3 linked regions of the Oryctolagus cuniculus genome follow. Each later gene encodes a partner of the first gene's protein in a complex. Links are inferred from orthologs where the notes say so. Each region holds a gene or a part of one and is shown on either strand. Other genes may lie near its edges. The genes, in order: NAA35, NAA30 and NAA38.

Region 1 (6,768 bases):
CTCCCAAGAACAGGGACAGGTGTAAGCCAAACTTATCTCACTTAGCAAAATTCTACTGAGATACTATTTCAATCACTTAGCAGGGCTGGCAATGTGGCATATGGGCTAATCCTCTGCCAGCAGTGCTGGCATCCCATATGAGCACTGCTTTGTGTCTAGGATGCTCCACTTCCAATCCAGCTCCCTGCTAATGTGCCTGGGAAAGCAATGGAAGATGGCCCAAGTTCTTGGGCCTCTGTACCCACATGGGAGACCTGGAAGAAGCTCCTGGCTGGCTCTGCTGTGGTCATTTGGGGAGTGAACCAGTGGATGGAGACCTCTCTGTCTCTCCCTCTCTATGTCTGTAACTCTACCTATCAAATAAATAAATAAAATCTTTAAAAAAAAGAATTTTCCTTATATATAGGCTGGTTAAACAATGAAAGGGCATATTTACATAGCTATCCATGGTAACACTGTTCACATATTAAAAGCCTAGAAACACCCATCAACAGGGAACTTACTTGAAAAATTGTGATACTTTCTGTCAGTGAAGCAGTATGACTATTTTTTTAGAGCAGCAATTGAGGACATAACCAGATGAGAAAAAAATAAATATACACATAGTTGTCATCATCCTAATGTGACATTATGAAAATCAGATGCTTATTTGAAATTATACATTTTGTATGAGGATATGCTTTTTTTTTTTATTTTTTTGACAGGCAGAGTGGACAGTGAGAGAGAGAGACAGAGAGAAAGGTCTTCCTTTGCCGTTGGTTCACCCTCCAATGGCCGCCACGGCCGGCGCGCTGCGGCCGGTGCACCGCGCTGATCCGAAGGCAGGAGCCAGGAGCCAGGTGCTTTTCCTGGTCTCCCATGGGGTGCAGGGCCCAAGCACCTGGGCCATCCTCCCCTGCACTCCCTGGCCACAGCACAGAGCTGGCCTGGAAGAGGGGCAGCCGGGACAGAATCTGGTGCCCCGACCGGGACTAGAACCCGGTGTGCCGGCGCCGCTAGGCGGAGGATTAGCCTAGTGAGCCACGGCGCCGGCTGGAGGATATGCTTTTGATAAATATTTTCATATTTCCACCCAATTTTTTTTTGATTTACTTATTTATTTGAAAGTCAGAGTTACAGAGAGAGAGAGAGAGAGAGAATGAATGAATCTTCCATCTTCCGGTTCACTCCCCAAAAGCCCACAACAACCCAGATAGGGCCAAGCCAAAGGCAGGAACCAAGAACTTCAAGTTGTTTTCCATGTGGGTGGCAAGGACCCAGTCACTTGAGCCTTCATCTGCTGCCTCCCAGGATGTGCATTAGCAGTAAGCCGGGTTGAAAACACAGGCAAGACTTCCACCCAGGCACTGCCAGATGGGATGTGGGCACAGCCTAATCTGCTACACGATGCCCACCTGTTCACAGGTACGCTGAAAGTCCTTGGAAAATAGGCTTGTTTTGGTGCAGAAAATTTTAAATCATGCATTTTTTGTAATGCACATTTGTCATGAAATTTATGCACCCAAACCATCTTTAAATTCCATTTCCCTCAAACTTTTCAAAAGTGCCCTTGTAGTAGTTTTCTGTTTCAAAAATGCCTTTATTTAAACAAAACAGTAAGACTAGCTAACAGTGGCTATTAGTAGCAATTCATAGTAGAAATGTCTAAAAATAATGTGTCAGAAAACAAAACACCATATTTAAAACGCTGATATAAACATACAGAGGATAATTAGTTTAGAGGATAATATATTTTAACAATTTTATAACGTTATTACTGTGTATTCTCAAGTAAACATAAGACTGAAAAATGAGGGGGGCCAGCATTGTGGTGTAGCGGGTTAGGCCACCGCCTGCAGTGCCGGCATCCCATATGGGCGCTGGTTTGTGTCCTGGCTGCTCCTCTTCCATTCCAGCTCTCTGCTATGGCCTGGGAAAGCAGTGGAAGATGGCCCAAGTCCTTGGGCTTCTGCATCGTGTGGAAGACCTTAAAGAAGCTCCTGGTTCCTGACTTCAGATGGATGCAGCTCCAACCGTTGCGGCCATCTGGGGAGTGAACCAGCAGATGGATGACCTCTCCCTCTCTCTGTAACTGTACCTCTCAGATAAATAAGTAAATCTTAAAAAAATAATAATAGAGCTGCTATGATCATTAATGTAGAAACCTTCGTGTGGATGTAGGCTTTGCTTCCCAGGTAACTACCTGGGAGTGGAATTACCATTCATGTGACAAGGATGTGGTTCTAGGAAAATAAGGAATTTTCCCGAGTGGCTGTTCCACTCCGAAGCCGCGGGAGAGACCCAGCTGTCCTGCCGTCTTCATGTTGGCCACTCTGACCGGCAGACGGTGGTCAAGGTGGGCGCCCTACCAGCGCCCACCTCGTCACAGTAACCCCATCTAAAAACCGACCACTCTGTGTAACTCTTTCAAATAAATAGATAAATCTTAAATAAATAAATAAACCGACCACTCTCGCCGTATAACTCTTTCAATTAAATAGATAAATCTTTTAAAAAATTAAAATAAAAAAAAATTACTTCTTAAGTCATGTGGCAGTCCGGAAGAAAATGGCTGGCTTGGCTCCGCAAGGAATTTATTTCTAATTTCCTCTCAGGAACTCCGCAGGCGCCGCTCCCAGAAAACAGTCGCAGCCCGACCCGACGGGGCTTCCGAGCGGCGCCGTTCCTTCAAGCCGGCAAGCACCGAAGTCTAAGCACATCTTCACCGCCTCCATCCGCCCCAGCGTCACCTTTCGAAGAATTTCCCAGGGAGCCTTGCGGGACGGGGCGGGGCGGGCTCTGACGGCTGAGGCTCCGCCCCCGTCAGGCACCGTCAGGGACTCGGCCCGGGCTTCCGGTCTCGCGATTCGCTCTAATACCGCGAGAAGAGAAGATGGCCGCCATCAGTCGAGCCGCGGCTGTAAGCGAGGAAGGGGGTGTGGCCGGGGAGCGCAAAGTCCCCGGGAGTAAGGGAGAGGGGGCGGGGTCGCGCGCGCCGGGCGTACGCATGCGCGCACGCTGCCGGTCGGGCTGGGCTGAGCGGGGAGGGGACGGGGGCGTCGTTATTTCCGTGGTCCGGACGGTGCGTGGCGGCGCGGGTGGCCACGGGAGAAGGAGGTATGGGCGGCCTCTGGGGTGCCATTGAGACCCCCTTGTTTCGGGCGTAAAGGAGAGCAGCGGCCCTCTACCCCCCCACACCGGGCGTCTGGCGGACCCCGGGGACGTCAGGTCACCCTTGCGGCGCCGGCTGCCCGCCGAGGCCCTGGCCTCGCCCGCTGTTCCCGGGGCCGACGACCGGCGCGGCGACAGCCCTTGTCCTTGCTTCGGCGCCCTGTAGGGCTGGGCCGGGCTGCCCCGGGCGCGGCGGCCGCGGAACGAGTGCCCGCCTCGGGTGCGCCCGCACCCTGGGCCCGGCGAGCGGGGCCGGGGTCCCGCCGCGGCCCGCGGGGCTGTTGGCCCAGGAACGGTGCCTGGATTGGAGTGGTGGTCGTCGGGGGTGGGGTTGGGGGGTCCTGGGCCGCGGGGAGGGGCCTCTGGAGCTAGTGGTCGGGGTTGTGTGGCAAGGCAAACTCAATGGTGGCTCTCAGGAAGTGGGCAGAAGTAGTATTAATGAACGTTGATCATAGTATAAAACGTGATTTTTTTTTGCTTTTTTTTTTTTTTTGCAGTAGCGCTTACAGACTTTAGAGTTGTGCTTAAAGAGTTTCTGAGACTTTGATCCAGCCCTTACACACACTTTTTTTTTTTTTTTGCAACTATTCTTGCCCTGCAAGCTGCATGCTCTTACACCTGTTAATTTTTCCAGGCGTCATGGTGATGAAAGCGGCTGTCGATGAAGATGATTCAGGCTGGGAACTCCGCATCCCGGAAAAGATGGAGAAGAGCAACACGAGCTGGGTGGACATAACTCAGGACTTTGAAGAAGCTTGTCGAGGTGAGTTCGAATTTTTGGGGTGAGTAGAAGTTCAAAGTCTGGGAAAGCATAAAAGAACATGACCGTGGTTCCCCAGCGTGTCCCAGGAAATGAAGTGAAATCAACAGGTAAAATGTGGTTTATCAAGCTGGTTATGCACAGTTGCACTCGACCCTCTCATTTGACCTTTCTTTTGAAGCCAGTATGTGTTTGACATAAATTCAGTACAGATGGTGAGGCAGTTAACGGAGTAGGAGCAATCATTCCCAACTGTGGAACTACTAATTACGTGGGCCTGAAAGGTGGTGGGATTGTTGCGGAGTTGAGGTTTGGAAATGATCAGGACGTGTAACTCCCTGCAGTGTCTTCCTGTTGCGGGTAGAGTAACACCCAGGCTGGAAGACCTGGCCGGGCCTGCCGCTCAGCCTGCCTTTTCATACCACTGCCCCCGTAGGCTCCTGTTCCAGTCACGAGGTCCTTCCTATCTCTGTGTTAGACACATCAGCGTGGTTCCTATGTATACTGTGTGTTCTCTGTCTTAAGTTACTTTGCGCCAGGCTCCTCCTCTGCCCCTTTAATGTCACCCCCACACCACTCTGAGCAGAGTCACCCCCTCATTTTCTTCTCCAACCTCACCTCAGCGGAAACCCCTGTTTTGTTTCCCTCATGGTGCTCACATTTGTCAGGAGCCTTCATGTTCAGGGGTTTGTTGTTTGTTGTCAGCCCCATCCACTAGATGGTGAGCTCTGGGTTCAGAGATCCTGTCTGTCACCCTACCCCACAGAGCAATGCCTGGCACATAGTTCAGTATACGCCTGGGAATTAATGATGAGACAAGTGAGCATGTTTGAGGGGAAGGCGCCTTAGGGAGAGACTGAAGATAAGAGAGAGAAACAAATAAGACATTGAGAGCGTAGAATTGAAAAGAAGGACGGAAGCAAGGACGTGGTGGGAAGATGAAGCTGGGGGAAAGGCACAGGGACACCCTGAGATTGGAGGGGCTGATGTACAGCTGACTCCTGTGGGAGTCTTCCAGAGGGCAGGCAGAGTGCATGCTGTGAAAATGCGTGCGCATGGGTTTCGGGTTTTTTTGGTCACCAAAGTAAACTGTTGAATGCCATGAGCTTTTTGAAGCACCCTCATAGTTCTACGTGGATGGGGAGGGATGCACACTTGACGGCTTCTTCTTTTCCCCAGTTTATTTTTTTTTTGGTAACGGTGAGATGCACTCTGAAGGAGAGAAGTAAAGGCTGGGGAGCAGTAGCAGGTGGAACGGGAGCCAGCTGAGTGTGAGCAAAGTGATAAATCATGTGTATGACAAGCCCCTTGTAATACAGGTTCAGTTAAACGCCTTGGTGTGATGGTGGGAACAGCAGTAGACTGGGAATTGGGTGACTGCCTATATATGTGTCTGAGGGAGAAAGAACGAGGTGTAGTTTTGTGCCTGGAGATCTTTGACCATTAAGTGGTTCAGACCTTTCATGTTGTCCTGATTCAAGAGTCCTGTATTAGAGGGCTGTCATTATGAAGGGAGATTCTACGAAAGATATATGGCTTCAGTTGGGTCTTGAGGGAGAGGTTGGGTTTCTTTAAATACTTACCCCAGACTGAGATGAGCCATATGAGCCAGAGTTCAATGAGAGTTTCATGTTTTAGGAATAGAGAAGAGTTTTGCTTGGCTACAAAGCGGTTTGCAGTGCTGGGACTTGTAGATCGGCAGTGCTTTTTTAAGTTTTAGCTCAGTTTATAGACGGTTGGAAATCTAAGAGTTTTGAGCGTAAGATTAGAAGTGTATTCCCCTTCATGTTTGGTACAGTGACTTGGACAGTGTGACTTCTGAGAAAATAGTAAGCTTTTGAGTGAGACATGAGCTGAAATTCCAGCTCCTTTGCCACTCATTAGCTCAGTAACTGTGGATGGTTTATTTAAGCAGTCTTTTCTCCTCTGTGAAGTAGAGCTACTTTATAGTCTGAGTGATTAAATGAGATAGTAGATGTAAAGTACTTGGTGGACGGTGGTGCTAGTTGTTCTTACTCATAGGATTTGTTTAATTCAGTAAAATTAAAATAAGGACAGTCTCCCAGCATAATCTGAGATGGATTGAGAGAGGGCCTGTAACCTTAGACAAGTTTTTTCGCTTAGTCTACATGGAGATGTTAGGACTTTGGTCTAAGATAGTGGCAGGATGGAGTAGAAGGGTTACATATGAGAATAAAGAAAAGTTCATGAGACCCAGTTAGTAAGTGTTGGGGTGGTGAAAGGAGCTGAGGAGTGTTGTGCCTTGCGATGTTTCTCTCCGTGACAGTACAGGAGAGTGAGCGCGTACACTCCTCAGCCTCCCCTTCCCAAGTCTTGGGGGAGACTTCAGAGCATCTCCTTCTAAGCACAGGTAGCTTTATGATTTCCTGCTTTACCTTAGAAATTATGGAAAAGTTTGCATTTTGCATTGTGTGTGTCCATTTATGCTATAGGTTCTTGGCTCTCAAATCGTTGTGTTAGATTTGAAAACATTAGGCAGCTATCCTGTGCCTCTGAGTGCCCTGAGACATGATGTTCACCCAGGGTCCCACACACTGCGGTTTGAAGATCATGGGCCTGCGGCATTTAGGCCGAACTAAATATGTGACTTGAGAGGCCCTCTAACTTTATTCCCACTTCTTGTTTTCATTTATGTATATCTCCTAATTTTTTGTGTTGTAGCGAGAATTGAATCCAAGAAAGCAGATTAGAATACTGGTGGGAGAGATGCTTTTGCTTGGCTTCATGTTATGTCATAAATGAGCTCAGTTTCTTTGTGGAAGGAACCTTGAGTGGGAGATCAAGTTTAATCCCTTCTGTAGTGTGGATTGAGAGGAGGTGGCTTGTCATTTTGTTGT
Region 2 (6,817 bases), on another chromosome or scaffold:
GGAAGAAATAACAACTAGTTTTAGGCTAGATTTATTTTTTCCTAATTAAGAATCTATAGGAGCAAAAAATCAAGATGCATACATCATCTAAAAATAACAGGCCCAATGAATGATACACTGTTATTAATATCACCTCTGGCAGTGAGGAAGGTCAATACCATATTTTTCCCTGATAAACTGCAGATGAATAAACATTTGCAAGAACCAGCCAACTGTCTGTCAATTTTTTCCAAATAAAAGCTTCTGCAAGCCCGGGAAAAGCAGCGGAGGATGGCCCAAGTGCTTGGGCCCCTGACATCCATGTAGGAGACATGGAAGAAGCTCCTAGCTCCTGGCTTTGTCCTGGCCCAGCCCTGGCATTTGTGGCCATCTGGGAAGTGACCCAGCAGATGGAAGACCTATCCTTTTTCTCTGTAAATCTTTCAAATAAATAAATCTTAAAAAAAATTTAAAAAAGCTTCTGTACATACATATGAAACTCATTCTATTTAAATATTTTTTCCCAAGGATGAGAACTGAAAAATCTCTAGCAAAATTAAGACTTAACTCTACAAGACCAAAGGCTTGCCAGCCTACAAAACCATGAAAAATAAAAATTGTGTGAAATAGATTCCCAAATATAGAACACTGAAAATAGAAAACTGGAGGAAGCTGGGAAGTTAAATTTAGAACAAATGAACGGAAGTACTGTATTACATTGCTGATAGTAAAGTTTAAGAACTTCAAAAACGCACTAACACCTGAAAATGCTGTGACTCCAAAGGAGGTAAAGACAAATTGGTTCGGTACAGGGTAGATGGCACCTCACATTTCCACCATCCTCTGTTTTCACTTCTGTTGCAATAATTAGAATTACAGGAATTGTCATTTTTGTCAATCAAGTATTGGCAATTTCATAAAGTTCAATCTCATATATTCCATTTGACCCATTACACGTTACACATGGAAACCAGAAACATTTTAGAGGTTTCCAATCTCATGAAATAGATGTTTCTAAGGGAAACTACCCTTTGGTGAAGATAATTTGGTAACACACAATGATCTGTACTACATAGGTTAATGGTATGCCATTTTTCAGGTCAGGAGACCAGGGTTTGAGCTTTGCCTGGGAATTTAACCATTTTGAGTCACTCTGATCCTTAAATGTTTTATACAAGGAAAAAAAAAAAAACACCACAAAGTTGGGCTAGACTAGAATCCCTTTCAGTTCTAAAATGATATGAAATAAACATTCACAATTTAAAAACTTAGTTCTCACATGAAATTTAAATTAAAAATATGCCAACATGAAGGCCTCAGTTCTAAATGGCCCGTTTTAACTAATGTTTTATTGTGCAATAAAATACCTCCAGATTCATTCTTGTACTAGTAAATCTTACAGAGGTCAACCACTTGTGCATATCTCAACTTCTAGACATTCAAGATTTAATTTTCAACTTTGGCTATAAAGTGCTAAGGTACAAATCAGTTGATGAATTTGGAGGATTCTATATACAATCAAGGCTAAAGTTTACTAACAATAAGCTTATCAGAGTCTAAAATAGCAGACAAGCTGAGAAAGGTCCACATACTATGAGGACTCAAATACTGACTAAATAGCATATATATATATTTATATATGCAACTACTTCCTGGAATTGATGGAAAAACATCTATTTCAATTTAAAATGTGATTCAATTATACACTTTCGCTGGACTGCTGCACAATTAAATCAATCTACAATTTTTAGCGATTACAATGGTATTTAATGACATTTATAATAGTGCTATAAATCATTCTTCTATATTCACTGACACAGACATGTCTTAGAACTTCTATTTTGATACAAGGTTTAGAACCCTAACAATTTTCTAGACTATAAAATAATACCTAGTTTAAACAAAGGTATTAAACTGAAGTTTGTGTAAAATTAACACAGAAAATAGCAGAACTATCACTACCTTCAATACCCACATTATATTTTCAAATTACCACGAAGCTATAGAAATCAGAAAGATTTAAGTACTGTCACAACACACTGCCAGGATTCAGCAAGTGACACTAAGTCCACGTTCAAACAAACCAAAAAACACATCAGTGGTGACTTTTCCCTTCACATATCATAAAATACTCCTTAAAAGCACGTTCTTTTTAGTCAAACTCAAGGGGAACAATGTTTGTGAGTACATGGTAAAAAGCATATACCTGCAGCTAATATTTAAGTTTCATACAGACTGAGACTGGGTCAACAGCTCTGTGAGGAAATTACTCGCACTGTATTATTCAGCTTGTCTAATATCAAGTCTTTTTCACTTTCATATAAGTAAGAAGAATTTCATCACATAGAGCCAATACAAGCCAGGGTTAACCAGTGTTTAGGCCCATCTATGGCCAGTTTCTTAAAAAAAAAAAAAAACTCAGAGTAGTAACAGTTTCACACTCAAGCTTCCTGCATTTCACAAAAGGGCATTTTCGCTCCAGTTTCAGGAGTCTTTCGGGAACCGAGTGTTAGCACCTCTGCGATGGGGCACGGGGAAGCGGGCTGGTGTGGCGGTAGGGAACAGGCACAGGCCTGGAGGACCTGCGGCCGCACAGCATCCTGTGCACACACTCAGTCCTGCCGAGGGCTGCGCCCGACCAGGGCCACGACCAAATTCAACGCCTGTGCTGAGGGAGGGCAGCTAAAGACAGTTCACCACGACCACACACTGTGAGCTCAGGTCCACGGGACACGAGACCCCCGCCCCCACCCCCGGTGACCACCACGCAGCCCACAGGTGCGGCGCATCTACATCGGTCCCAGGCCAGCCCGGGTGGCGAGGTCTTCCCTTCGAAGCGGCTCCGTGCACTCGCTAGGAAGCGTGGACACGCACTGCACATCCCGTCCGCCACCGCGACACGCAGGGGCGAGCGTCCACGCGGCCCGCACACTCCCTGCCCCGCGCCGCCTGCACCTGGCTGTGGGAGCACCCACGTTTCCTTCCGTGCACTTACCAAGAAGCACAGCTGCGGCCAGTTGTGGATAAAATATCTATAAGTATAAATGGAGTAGGGTTCGGACAGATCTTTGGTGATCAGTCTCATGATATCGGGCATTTGGAGCTCGGATTCGTATCGGACGTATCGTATCGTCCGATCCTCCCCGGGCTCAGCCTCCCTGCCCGAGGGGCTTCTTAAGCTGCAGCCTGCGGTCAGGGCCGAAGACAGCAGCCGCACCTGCTCGTCTTCCTCCTCCGGCTCGGGCTCCGGCTCGGGCTCCGGCTCGGGCTCCGGCTCGGCGCCCTCGGCCAGTCCGTTGCGGGCCGCCGCCTCGGCCCGGCTGGGGAGCGCAGTTCTCGCATTCCTGGAGAGCGAGCGAGGGGGCCTCTCGCCCGAGGGCACCCCGGTTCCTTTTGTTGCAGTCGCTTTGGAGCCCGTGCCGCCGGCGGCCGCCTCGGCTGCACCCAGGACCTTGCTCTTGAGCGAGGCGGCCGCCCGGAGGTGTCGCAGTTCGGGGCTGATCAATCCGTTGAGCTGCTGCTGCTGCTGCTGCTGCTGCTCCGGCGGCGGCTGAGGGCAGCGGAGGCACGGAAGCCCCTTGGCCGCCGCCGCCGCCGCCGCCTCGCCGCCCGCCGGGCTCCCGCCACCGCCGCCGCCGCCGCCGCCGCCTTCGGGCTCCTCGTCGTCTTCCTCGTCCTCGCTGCAGCAGGCGAGCGCGGCCCCCGCCGGGAAGGGGCAGCGGGGCTCGGCCGCCGCCGGGGCCGGAGGTGCTGGAGGTGGGAGGAGGCTGCTAGGCCCAGGCGGTACCTCCGCCATCCTAGAAGCGACACAGACCGAGAGCGGAGGCCATGAGACGCTGTCGCCCAACGCCGGGCGGAGGGGACGGCAGGTGGGGGGGCGGCACGAGTGTGTGTGGGGGGGAACAAAGGCAGAAACCGTCCCTCACGGCGCTGCCGCCCCAATTCCGCGCCGCTCCCCCCCAACCCACCCACCCTTACCCACCCCGGGCCCCTCAACGCCACCCCGCAGCCCAGCCGCCGCTGTCCGCCAGGGCCCAGACGCCAGCGCTGTCACCGCGGCCCCTCCCCGACCCCTCCTGGAGGCTCACCCCGCACCGGTCCCCGCCGCCGCCGCCGCTGCCGCCGCCACTCAGCCACCACCGCCGCCGCCTCCCTCGCCGCCGCGGCCGCCGCCACCGCCGCCAAGGCTCTCACTCAGCAGCCGCCGCCGTAAAGCGCCTCGGCTGTTACCCCGGGTAAAGTTTCCTGGGCCTGGCTTTACGACACTTCCCTGCCTGCCGGCTGCCGGGCCGAGGGAAAGGGGCGGGCGGGAGGTGACCTGTGCGAGGGGCGGGGACGAAGGTGTCCCCGTGCGGGCTCGGAGGGCGGCGGCGGCGGGCCGGCGGGTGGGGTTACGGGGCGGGGAAGTCGCGGTGGGCCCCGGAGTCGCCCGCGCCGCATCCCTGCTCGGGGTTTCTGGGGTGCGTCTACGCGGCCAGGCGGGGCCGCTGTTCAGCCCGCCGCCCCGGGCCTGCGGATCCGGCCCTTTTACAAATCACCCAAAAAATGTTTTTCCTGAGCTCCGCGTTTTGTAACTTTAGCCCTAACCCGGGGCCGTGCGGTTGGAAGGGAAGGGGTTTAAAATGGAGCGCATCCAGGCAGCAAACGGGAGGGGAGAGGGAGTTGGGGAAACTTTGTGAAAATGGGAGGCTTGCGGCGGGGATTGGGTTGACCCGGCCTTTCCCCTTCTGAGACACGGGAACAGGTATCGCCGCCCGTTTCCTCGGCCGCTGCTCACTGCCTTCCCCCGGCCAGGGGAAGCTGGAGGTGAAGTGTGACTGACAGGTGCCGGGCAGCCCAGGCGTGCCCGGGGCGCGATCCCAGCAGCACGGTGCGAAACGCGGGACGCGACGTGTGATCGGTGGGCAGCCCGGGTGCAGGGGTGTCCGGCCGCGGCCGCCCACGTGGCCGGCCTGGCGCGGTCAGCAGGGAGAGAAGCAAGTGCAGCCCGTGTCTGTGTACTCCTCTGCCTGGGCCGAGAGGCAAGCCGACAGCGTTGACCCTCTAGCGCACAGAGCAAAGTAAGTTTGTAAAAACTGGTAGGGCCGGTCAGGTGCTACCAGCGTGCCACGGGTGGACATTTTGAGGCTAGAATTCTGAGAGTGTGTGCAACTTCTTGCTGTAACCTAAACTGTGCAGGCGGAATACACTGTAGCGGGACTGTTGTGAGTCTTAGAGTTCGTGTCCCTGGAGATGATAAAGGAAAACGCTCACCTTCCTTGGAGAGACTCACCTAGAGAGATAGTCATGAAATGTTTTCTATGCGCCAGACACAGTTCTGCTTGTCTCATATGCATTTATTAACTCCTTTACAGGGTTGTATCCTATCAAAATATCGACATTTGTGCACAAAGAGGCATATAGGAGCACATTCATTTATTTTTTTAAAGATTTATTTATCTTATTTGAAAGTCAGAGTTACACAGAGAGAGAAAGAGAGGCAGAGATAGAGAAAGAGAGAGAGGTCCTCCATCCGCTGGTTCACTCCCCACTTCGCTGTAATGACCAGAGCTGCGCCGATGAGAAGCTGGGATCCAGGAGCTTCTTCCTGGTCTCCCACGCAGGTGCAGGGGCCCAAGGACTTGGGCCATCTTCCACTGCTTTCCCAGGCCATAGCAGAGAGCTGGATGGAAAGTGGAGAGCCCATATAGGATGCCAGCACTGTAGGTGGCAGCTTTACCCGCTACACCACAGCGCCAGCTCCTATTTATTTATTTTTAAGATTTATTTGAGGGCAAGAGTTACAGACAGAGGGAAAGACAGAGAGAGATTTGCTCCCCAGATGGGCACAATGGCCCAGTGCTGGGCTGATCTAAAGCCAAGAGCCAGGTGCTTCCTCCAGGTCTCCCACGTAGGTGCAGGGGTCCAAGCACTTGGGCCATCTTCTCTTTTCCCAGGCCATTAGCTGGGAGCTGAATCAGAAGTGTGCCAGCTGGGACTCGAACCAGTGCCCATATGGGATGCCTGCACCGCACCTGTAGGCTTAACCTATACCATAGTGCCTGCCCCAATTTCAACCCTGTTTATGACACAGAAAAACTAGTTCCAGACCACCTACATGTCTATGAATATAAGAATGACTGAACATACGATTCAGAAATATTATAGAATATTCTGTTAATTACATTGGTTAAAAGATGAAAATATACACAAAAGGGTACTTCACAGACTTGTGGGACCCAGTCTTAGACATCATGGTGTACTGGGGCAGGCATTTGACACAGTGTTAAGATGCTGCTTTGACTGTGGGGGTCTCATCCCAGAGCACCTGGGTCTCAGCCCCAGCTCTGCTTCTCATCTTAGCATCCTACTAGTGCTGGGGGGCAGCAGGTAATGACTCAAGTTCTTGGGATCCTGCTATCCACATGGGAGATCCAGATGCTGCTCTTGGCCCCTGGCTTTGGCCTGGCCTGGCCTCGACTGCTGCAGGCATTTGGGAAGTGAGCTAGTACATGGAAGATCTCTATACCTTTCAAATAAATTAAACAACAACGACAACAAAATGCTTTTCAATCATGCAGTTCCAGTTCTTGTGCATTATATTTATCCAGACGGTCACAAAGTCACATGCAGGTTTGAAAGGAGGGGAAGGGTCTCCTGCCTCGTGATGGAGAGAGACGAAGCTCTCAAGGAGCGTGTGAGACCACAAATAGTGTTGTGGCTGTCTCGGGAAAGCACCACTTGCCACAGCCCCTTCATTGAAAGGGCTAAACAAAGGGGCCGTGGGAAGAAGGGAATAAATGAGACATGTTGTAGTGTGACCCCGTGAATGTCCTTTAGAAAGCACAACTCAGAGCCG
Region 3 (5,837 bases), on another chromosome or scaffold:
TCCTGTTGGCGCTGGTGCTGGGGACCATCTTGCTACCCGCTGTCACCATGCTGGGCTTCGGTTTCCTCTGCCACTCCCAGGTGAGCACGAGCCCCCGGGCGCGCGTGAGTGCGGGTGTTTAGTGTGCGGTGATGCTGTCTGCTGTCGGGGTGTGTGTTGGGGGTGGTGTCTCTGCGGGTCGCAGGTTCCGCCTGCCTGGGCTGCTCCCACCGTGTGCACGGCGTGGCCAGGGGCAGCGTGGGCCTGACGCCACTTCTCCTCCCACAGTTCCTGCGTTCCCAGGCACCCCCTTGCACCGCACACCTGCGGGACCCGGGCTTCACGGCCCTGCTGGTCACCGGATTCCTGCTCCTCGTGCCGCTGCTCGTGCTTGCCCTGGCCAGCTACCGCCGCCTCTGCCTGCGCCTCCGCCTGGCGGATTGCCTCGTGCCCTACAGCCGAGCCCTCTATCGGCGCCGGCGCGCCTCACAGCCCCGGCAGCCCCGGGCCTCGTCGGGGTCCCAGGCCGGTCCCACACCCGGGAAGGTTTGGGTCTGAGGACCCTCCACTGGAGAGCAGCCCCGGCGTCTGCGCTCCCTCCCTCTCAGCCCAAGGACCCGAAGCCCCTGGGATCTTCTGTCCTGCCCCGCCCCCACCCCGGCCTGAGCCTGGTCCTAGCCCCGCTTGGCGAAGAGCAGTCCCCTGGACCCGATGCTGGTGAAATGCTCGCATCCCAGAACACCCGCTTGCCTCCTGCTACGCACATCCGAATTCTGAACGTCTGGGCTGGACCCTGCACCGCCTCCCCCCCCCCCCCCCGCCCCAGCTCCTCTCGCTGACCACGAACAGGAGGAGCAAATCTTGTTAGTCCCCTCCTTTTCTGGTGCAGCTCCTCTAGCACTGGCCGAGCGGAGGGGAAGCAGTGACCACACATCAATAAAGCATTAATGAACTGAATGCGCTCTCCGAACAGAGGGGTGGCCCGAGGACTGTCACCCGGCCTCGTGCCCAGGAGCAGGAAATGAGTGGAGCGCCTGGGGCCGCACACGCGCGGGCCCCCAGCATCCTTATCGCACCGGCGCCTTCTTCCGGGCCAGACCCCAGAGCTCCGGCCCTGACTCCAGTCACCTCCCCAGCAGCAGAACGGTGGGGGCTCGCTCCAGGCAGCCTGCCTTTCTCCCCTTGGGGACCCGAGCCCGTTCTCTGACCCCAGCTCAGAGGAACTCCGTGCTGCCAGGCCGGGCTGGGAAACAATGGGCTTTCCGGAGCAGGATGACGCCCCCTCCCTCCGCAGTCCTGGGAGAGCAGCGTGGGCGGGAAGATGCAGGGGCCCAACCCTGGGGCCTTGCTGGTTTACAGCTCGGTCCGCTCCCCACTCCCAGCCCTGAACTTGAGGGAAGCGTTGCCACTCTTAAGGGTGAGGGCTGACAGTGCTCGGGGCTCCGGACCTCAAACCCTCTCCTCCTGCCCTGGCGCCCCCGCTACACACAGACACGGGCCACTTCGGTCATGGGTTTAATGAAGTCTGCCAAGGCGTGCGCGACTGTGGTCAGAGATACGGAGGCCCCGCCAGGCTCTCCCTCTGCACCTCAATAGAAACGATGTGGTGTCCGGGTACCATGGCCAGGCCCAGCACACGGGGCTCCCCGGCAGAGAAGGAATCTGGAAAGAAGGGTGAGAGCATCAGGGAGGCAGGCCGGGGGCGGTCCCGCCCCTCCAGTGCCACGAAAACCAGGGGCAGGGGGCGCAGCCAGGCCCTGCAGGGGGGATGCCTTGGTGGAGCTTCCGCCGCTTGGCGAGGCGGGCGTGCGTTTCCGGGCACTGACCCGACGGCTTGAGGAACTCCTGCGCAGAACCCAGGATGACATTGCAGTCGCGGTCCGTGCAAAGGAAGCAGCCGACCAGCGTCCGTCCGTCGGTCATGCGGATGCGCATAGTCTTGTTAAGCAGCGCCTCCAGCTGCTGCCGGGCGCGCGCAGCCGGCGAGTCCTCCCGCTCCCCGTCCGAGTCCTGGGCGGGGCGGGACGCGCGCTCACACCCCGCGGCCCCGGCTGCCCGCCCGCTCGCCTGCGGAACCACAGCTCCCGGCAGCCCGCGGGGCGCGCACGCGCAGCCCGGAGGCTGCCGGGAGCTGGAGTCCCCCCGCCCTCGTACCCCATCTTGCAGCCCGACAGCCCCTCGATCCCAGAACCCGAGCCCGCGCTAACCCCGGCGCTGGAGCTGCTCTGACGCCGACTGCAACAGCCGTTCTCCTCGCGTAGCAGCATGGTCGGCCCAGCTCCAGCCATTGGCCCCAGGGCCTCCTCTGGGCCCCTAAACTTCCCCGGAACCTTTCGGGTCCGGTGCTGTGAGATCTCGCGAGCGCTCTCGACCTTTTTCCTTTCGCGAGATCGCCTCTCCCCCGCCGAGTCTCCGCGGCACCTGCCGGGATCTCGCGAGCTTTCGCCCGCTTCTCCAGCGCCGCAGGCTCACAAGATATCGCGAGAGGTTTACCTCTAGCCAGCCTTTGGGAGCCACGTGACTTAGCGAGGCTGCCTTCTTTCGTGCTGGCCTTCCTCACTTTATGTTTCTGCCTCGGGAGACAGTTCGTCCTAAACATCTCGTGCAGCACAGGCCATTGAGTTTAGATGAAGTGTGTTCGCTTTCTCTCGGAACTAACTCGATTGCTCGATACAATGATCGGGACGAGTTCAGACTACGTTTCCCAGGAGCGCACGCAGCCCAAGCCCCGCCTCGGCTACGGTGGGTAATCTCAGGCTACGGTGGCCGGGAGAGGACAATGGTTTCCATGTCAGCGGACAAACGCACTCAGCTTAGCTCCTGGACCAGCGGGAGCAGGCAGTAGTTTCTGCTGACGAGCGAGGAAGCCACAAAAGGGGCCGGCGACCAGTAGGGCGAGAGCCATGCCGCGCCGGGGCCTAGTGGCCGGGCCGGAGTTCGAGTATTTCAAGCGGCGCTTTTTCACGCCCGCGGAGGTGGCCGAACATAACCAGCCCGAGGACCTCTGGGTGTCCTACCTAGGATACGTGTACGACCTCACGCCGTTGGCAGAGGAATACAAGGGTAAGGGCCCCGCGACGGGCCGGGGTGTGTGTTCTTTGCGCGAGAGGGGTGGTGTCCGGTTCTGGGGTGGCCGGCGCTGACGGCAGCTGCCCCTTCCCAGGGGACCTGCTGTTGAAACCCATCGTGGAAGCTGCGGGCCAGGACATCAGCCACTGGTTTGATCCCAAGACCAAAGACGTGAGCTGTGCTGGACCTCGGGGCTGGGAGGAGGGGCACCGGAGAGCTGGGGTGGGGAGGAAAAGCGGGGGTCCCCTGAGCCTGCGCCGCTGACCCCCCCCCCCCCCCGGCTTTGCTTTAAAGATCCGCAAGCACATAGATCCGTTGACGGGCTGCCTGAGGTACCGCACCCCGCGGGGCCGCTTTGTGCACGTTCCGCCTCAGCTGCCCCGCTCGGACTGGGCCAATGACTTCGGGAAGCCCTGGTGGCTGGGCTCACAATACGAGGTGGGACGGCTGTCTCCCAAAACCCGGAACATCCGCATCATTAACACGCTCACGTCGCAGGAGCACACGCTGGAGGTGAGAACTGGTGCCGGGGACAGTTTGGAAGGAGCTGGGGATCCCGCAGACGTTCAGGCTGTCCGTGCCCCAGAACAGCTGGGACTGTTTTCCCCCTTTACCCTGAGGTGGCTGGGGGAAGCAGGCTGCGTGGGCCCCAGGGCGGGGGCCTGTAGGGTGTCCGGCTTGTGAGGCTATGAGACGGCTTCCTTCTCGTGCCGGGACCGCATTCTCGCAGCCAGGGACGGTGGGTCTTGGAAACTCCTACACTGCTGATTTGGACGGCAGTCCAACGTTATTATTAGCCTACTCTGATGCAAGCAGGCAGAAAGTGAGGGGCTGCTGGCTTGGACCCTAAATTCAGGGCCACCTGAGAACTGTCTGCTGTCCAGACAGGTGGGCCTGTGCGCCCCCTCCTTGCATGCTTTCCTCCTGAGGCTGTGGTGCCAGGGCTGGGCTGCTTCCCTGTCTCTCCAGGTGGGGGCTCTGGAGTCAATGTGGGAAATCCTCCACCGCTACCTGCCCTATAACGTACATGCAGCCAGCTACACGTGGAAATACGAAGGGAAGAATCTGAACATGAATGATACCCTGGAGGAGAATGGGATCCGGGATGAGGAGGAGGAATTTGACTTTCTCAGCATGGATGGTTCGCTCCACATTCCTGCAATACTGCTCTACTTCAATGACGACCTCACAGAGCTGTAGGAAAGGAGATTATGCTCATGTGGACTCGACAGATCTCGAGTCTGACTTTTTCTGTGCTGAGGAAAAGAGGTGGGGAGCCTGGGCCTAGACCCCCTCACCCCTCTGTGGTCCCTGCTCTTCCGAAGTGTGAAGCTGCTCCCCAGCTCCACCACCAGGTGCTCTGAGGGAATCGGGGAGAATGCCAGACGTGAGCAGATGTTTAGGAAAGACACAGGAAGGCACGGTGTCTTGGATCAGGGAGATCCAGGAGTCCGAGCTCAGGTAGGACGTTCTGATAGAAACAGAAAGAGGAGTGCCACACAGGGACGAGGGATGGAGGACAGCTGTGGCCATCATGGAGATGGGACAGCAGTAGAGATGGGATTTACAGACAGGGACAGAAATGGCCTAGCGACCACACAGAACTGGCTTCTCTCCCTTCTGAAGAGCATCCGGCTCGCTCAGACTAGATACTGTGCTGGGGACATTATATTCCCCAATATAACTACCCCCAAAAGTGGGCATCCTACTGCTATTTTATGCATAACTCTTCTGAAACCCAGAAAGACTTAATGTCATTATGGCATGTTAGTTAGGGAGCGTCAGAGCCGGAAGGCGAATCCAAGACTTCCCAACCCCAAGTCTGAGCTCTGTTCACTGTCAAGGGACCGTCTCCATGTCTGTCTTCACGCCAGCCTCAGAGCACTCTCTGGGACACTGGCTTGTTTAGGCTTCGTGCGCACTGGGGAGCAGTTACCGTCTCCGTAAGGGAGCTCCCCAGCGGCAAAGGCGAGGCAGTGAGGACGGCCAACTACTTCCTTGTTAGCCTCAGCAAAGCGCCTCTCCTGAATTTCTCTGGGCAGAGGTGGGTACTCACGGACTCAAAAGCAAGCTGCAGTGGGGGAGAGCCTGTGCACTGGGACGCTTCGGTGAGCAGCTTCTCTGACGAAGGGCCCTGCACTTAGGCGAGGGAGACGGGGTTGACTGTGAAATGCTGACTCCCAAAAGGAGGGGCTAAGTCAGGCAGAAAGCTCTCCTGGTGGCTGAGAGAGAACCTCTACAGGGGCCACAGTCACATCTGGTTCCCTTTAACCCTGGCAGCAGCAGCAAGAACAGAAGTGCGGGTTCAAGTCCCAGCGCCGTAGTTCTGATAGAGCTTCCTGCTAATGCGCCTGGGAAGGCAGCCTAGGATGGCCCAAGTAATTTTCCCAGTTACCACCACCGCTTGTGTAAACTGCTGTACAGAGTTCCTACTTGTCCTTGCATTTCCACTTCTGCCCTTCACGCCCTGTGGTCAGTGAGCTCTTGCTTCCCCGCTTCCTGTTGTGTTTGCAATAAAGTTCTAAATCCAAAGGCCCTGCACCACTTGTCTCGCAGCACCCCTGTGGGTCCGCTGTGCCCGCACACCAGGCCTCACCAAGCGTCGTCCTGCCTCATGGCCAAAGGTGGTCGCTGCTCGCCACACTCTCCCGCTTCCCACCTGGCAGGTCCTAAATCTTTCTTCTCAGACCTTTTTTGTCGCTGTTCATTTCTTGGTGTAGGTCAAGACTGTTAGATCTCCCCTGTGCACCATGCGTTTTTCAGGGTTCTCGCTCCACTGTCAAGTGCTG

What was found.
Region 2: the proteins of NAA35 (region 1) and NAA30 are in contact, whole or in part, in a cryo-EM structure (PDB 7MX2), measured with the Homo sapiens proteins. The link is inferred for Oryctolagus cuniculus from reciprocal best matches to the Homo sapiens genes NAA35 and NAA30. Residues at the interface, in NP_001308810.1 of Homo sapiens: Leu45, Gly46, Leu48, Leu56, Ala59, Met60, Ala62, Glu64, Lys69, Glu121, Phe313, Pro314, Arg315, Ala444, Leu510, Glu511, Leu512, Glu517, Pro605, Lys606, Phe607, Glu608, Leu609, Asp610, Val614, Arg615, His618, Arg619; in NP_001011713.2 of Homo sapiens: Glu221, Pro238, Ser240, Tyr242, Thr243, Arg245, Tyr246, His249, Asn250, Lys304, Ile324, Glu334, Asn335, Leu336, Gly337, Val339, Arg340, Asp341, Lys342, Arg343, Phe345, Arg346, Tyr347, Tyr348, Leu349, Leu359, Trp360, Leu361, Arg362.
Region 3: the proteins of NAA35 (region 1) and NAA38 are in contact, whole or in part, in a cryo-EM structure (PDB 7MX2), measured with the Homo sapiens proteins. The link is inferred for Oryctolagus cuniculus from reciprocal best matches to the Homo sapiens genes NAA35 and NAA38. Residues at the interface, in NP_001308810.1 of Homo sapiens: Val30, Asp31, Ile32, Thr33, Phe36, Ala39, Cys40, Leu43, Leu45, Glu47, Leu48, Leu49, His50, Asp51, Phe54, Glu58, Ala59, Ala62, Ile63, Glu64, Met65, Met66, Ala72, Gly73, Met74, Gln306, Arg307, Leu309, Pro310, Pro311; in NP_001307854.1 of Homo sapiens: Ala41, Arg42, Leu45, Glu46, Leu48, Leu49, Arg61, Phe67, Leu68, Cys69, Thr70, Asp71, Arg72, Cys74, Ile77, Arg97, Val98, Leu99, Gly100, Leu101, Ala102, Met103, Val104, Pro105, His108, Ser111, Ile112, Glu113, Val114.

What each region holds. Positions count from the first base shown.
Region 1 is NC_091432.1:144,534,623-144,541,390, reverse strand, and holds the start of NAA35 (N-alpha-acetyltransferase 35, NatC auxiliary subunit), read left to right. Parts: upstream 1-2,975; 5' UTR 2,976-3,096; intron 3,097-3,784; 5' UTR 3,785-3,789; coding exon 3,790-3,913; intron 3,914-6,768. UniProt on the Homo sapiens protein: Auxillary component of the N-terminal acetyltransferase C (NatC) complex which catalyzes acetylation of N-terminal methionine residues. N-terminal acetylation protects proteins from ubiquitination and degradation by the N-end rule pathway.
Region 2 is NC_091443.1:19,392,842-19,399,658, forward strand, and holds the start of NAA30 (N-alpha-acetyltransferase 30), read right to left. Parts: upstream 4,199-6,817; 5' UTR 4,068-4,198; intron 3,777-4,067; 5' UTR 3,776-3,776; coding exon 2,975-3,775; intron 1-2,974. UniProt on the Homo sapiens protein: Catalytic subunit of the N-terminal acetyltransferase C (NatC) complex. Catalyzes acetylation of the N-terminal methionine residues of peptides beginning with Met-Leu-Ala and Met-Leu-Gly.
Region 3 is NC_091448.1:52,403,984-52,409,820, forward strand, and holds NAA38 (N-alpha-acetyltransferase 38, NatC auxiliary subunit), read right to left. Parts: upstream 2,495-5,837; 5' UTR 2,268-2,494; coding exon 2,187-2,267; intron 1,990-2,186; coding exon 1,806-1,989; intron 1,642-1,805; coding exon 1,529-1,641; 3' UTR 1,482-1,528; downstream 1-1,481. Other genes in the region: TMEM88 (transmembrane protein 88), read left to right, coding at 1-80, 268-537; CYB5D1 (cytochrome b5 domain-containing protein 1), read left to right, coding at 2,883-3,042, 3,143-3,219, 3,343-3,561, 4,018-4,248.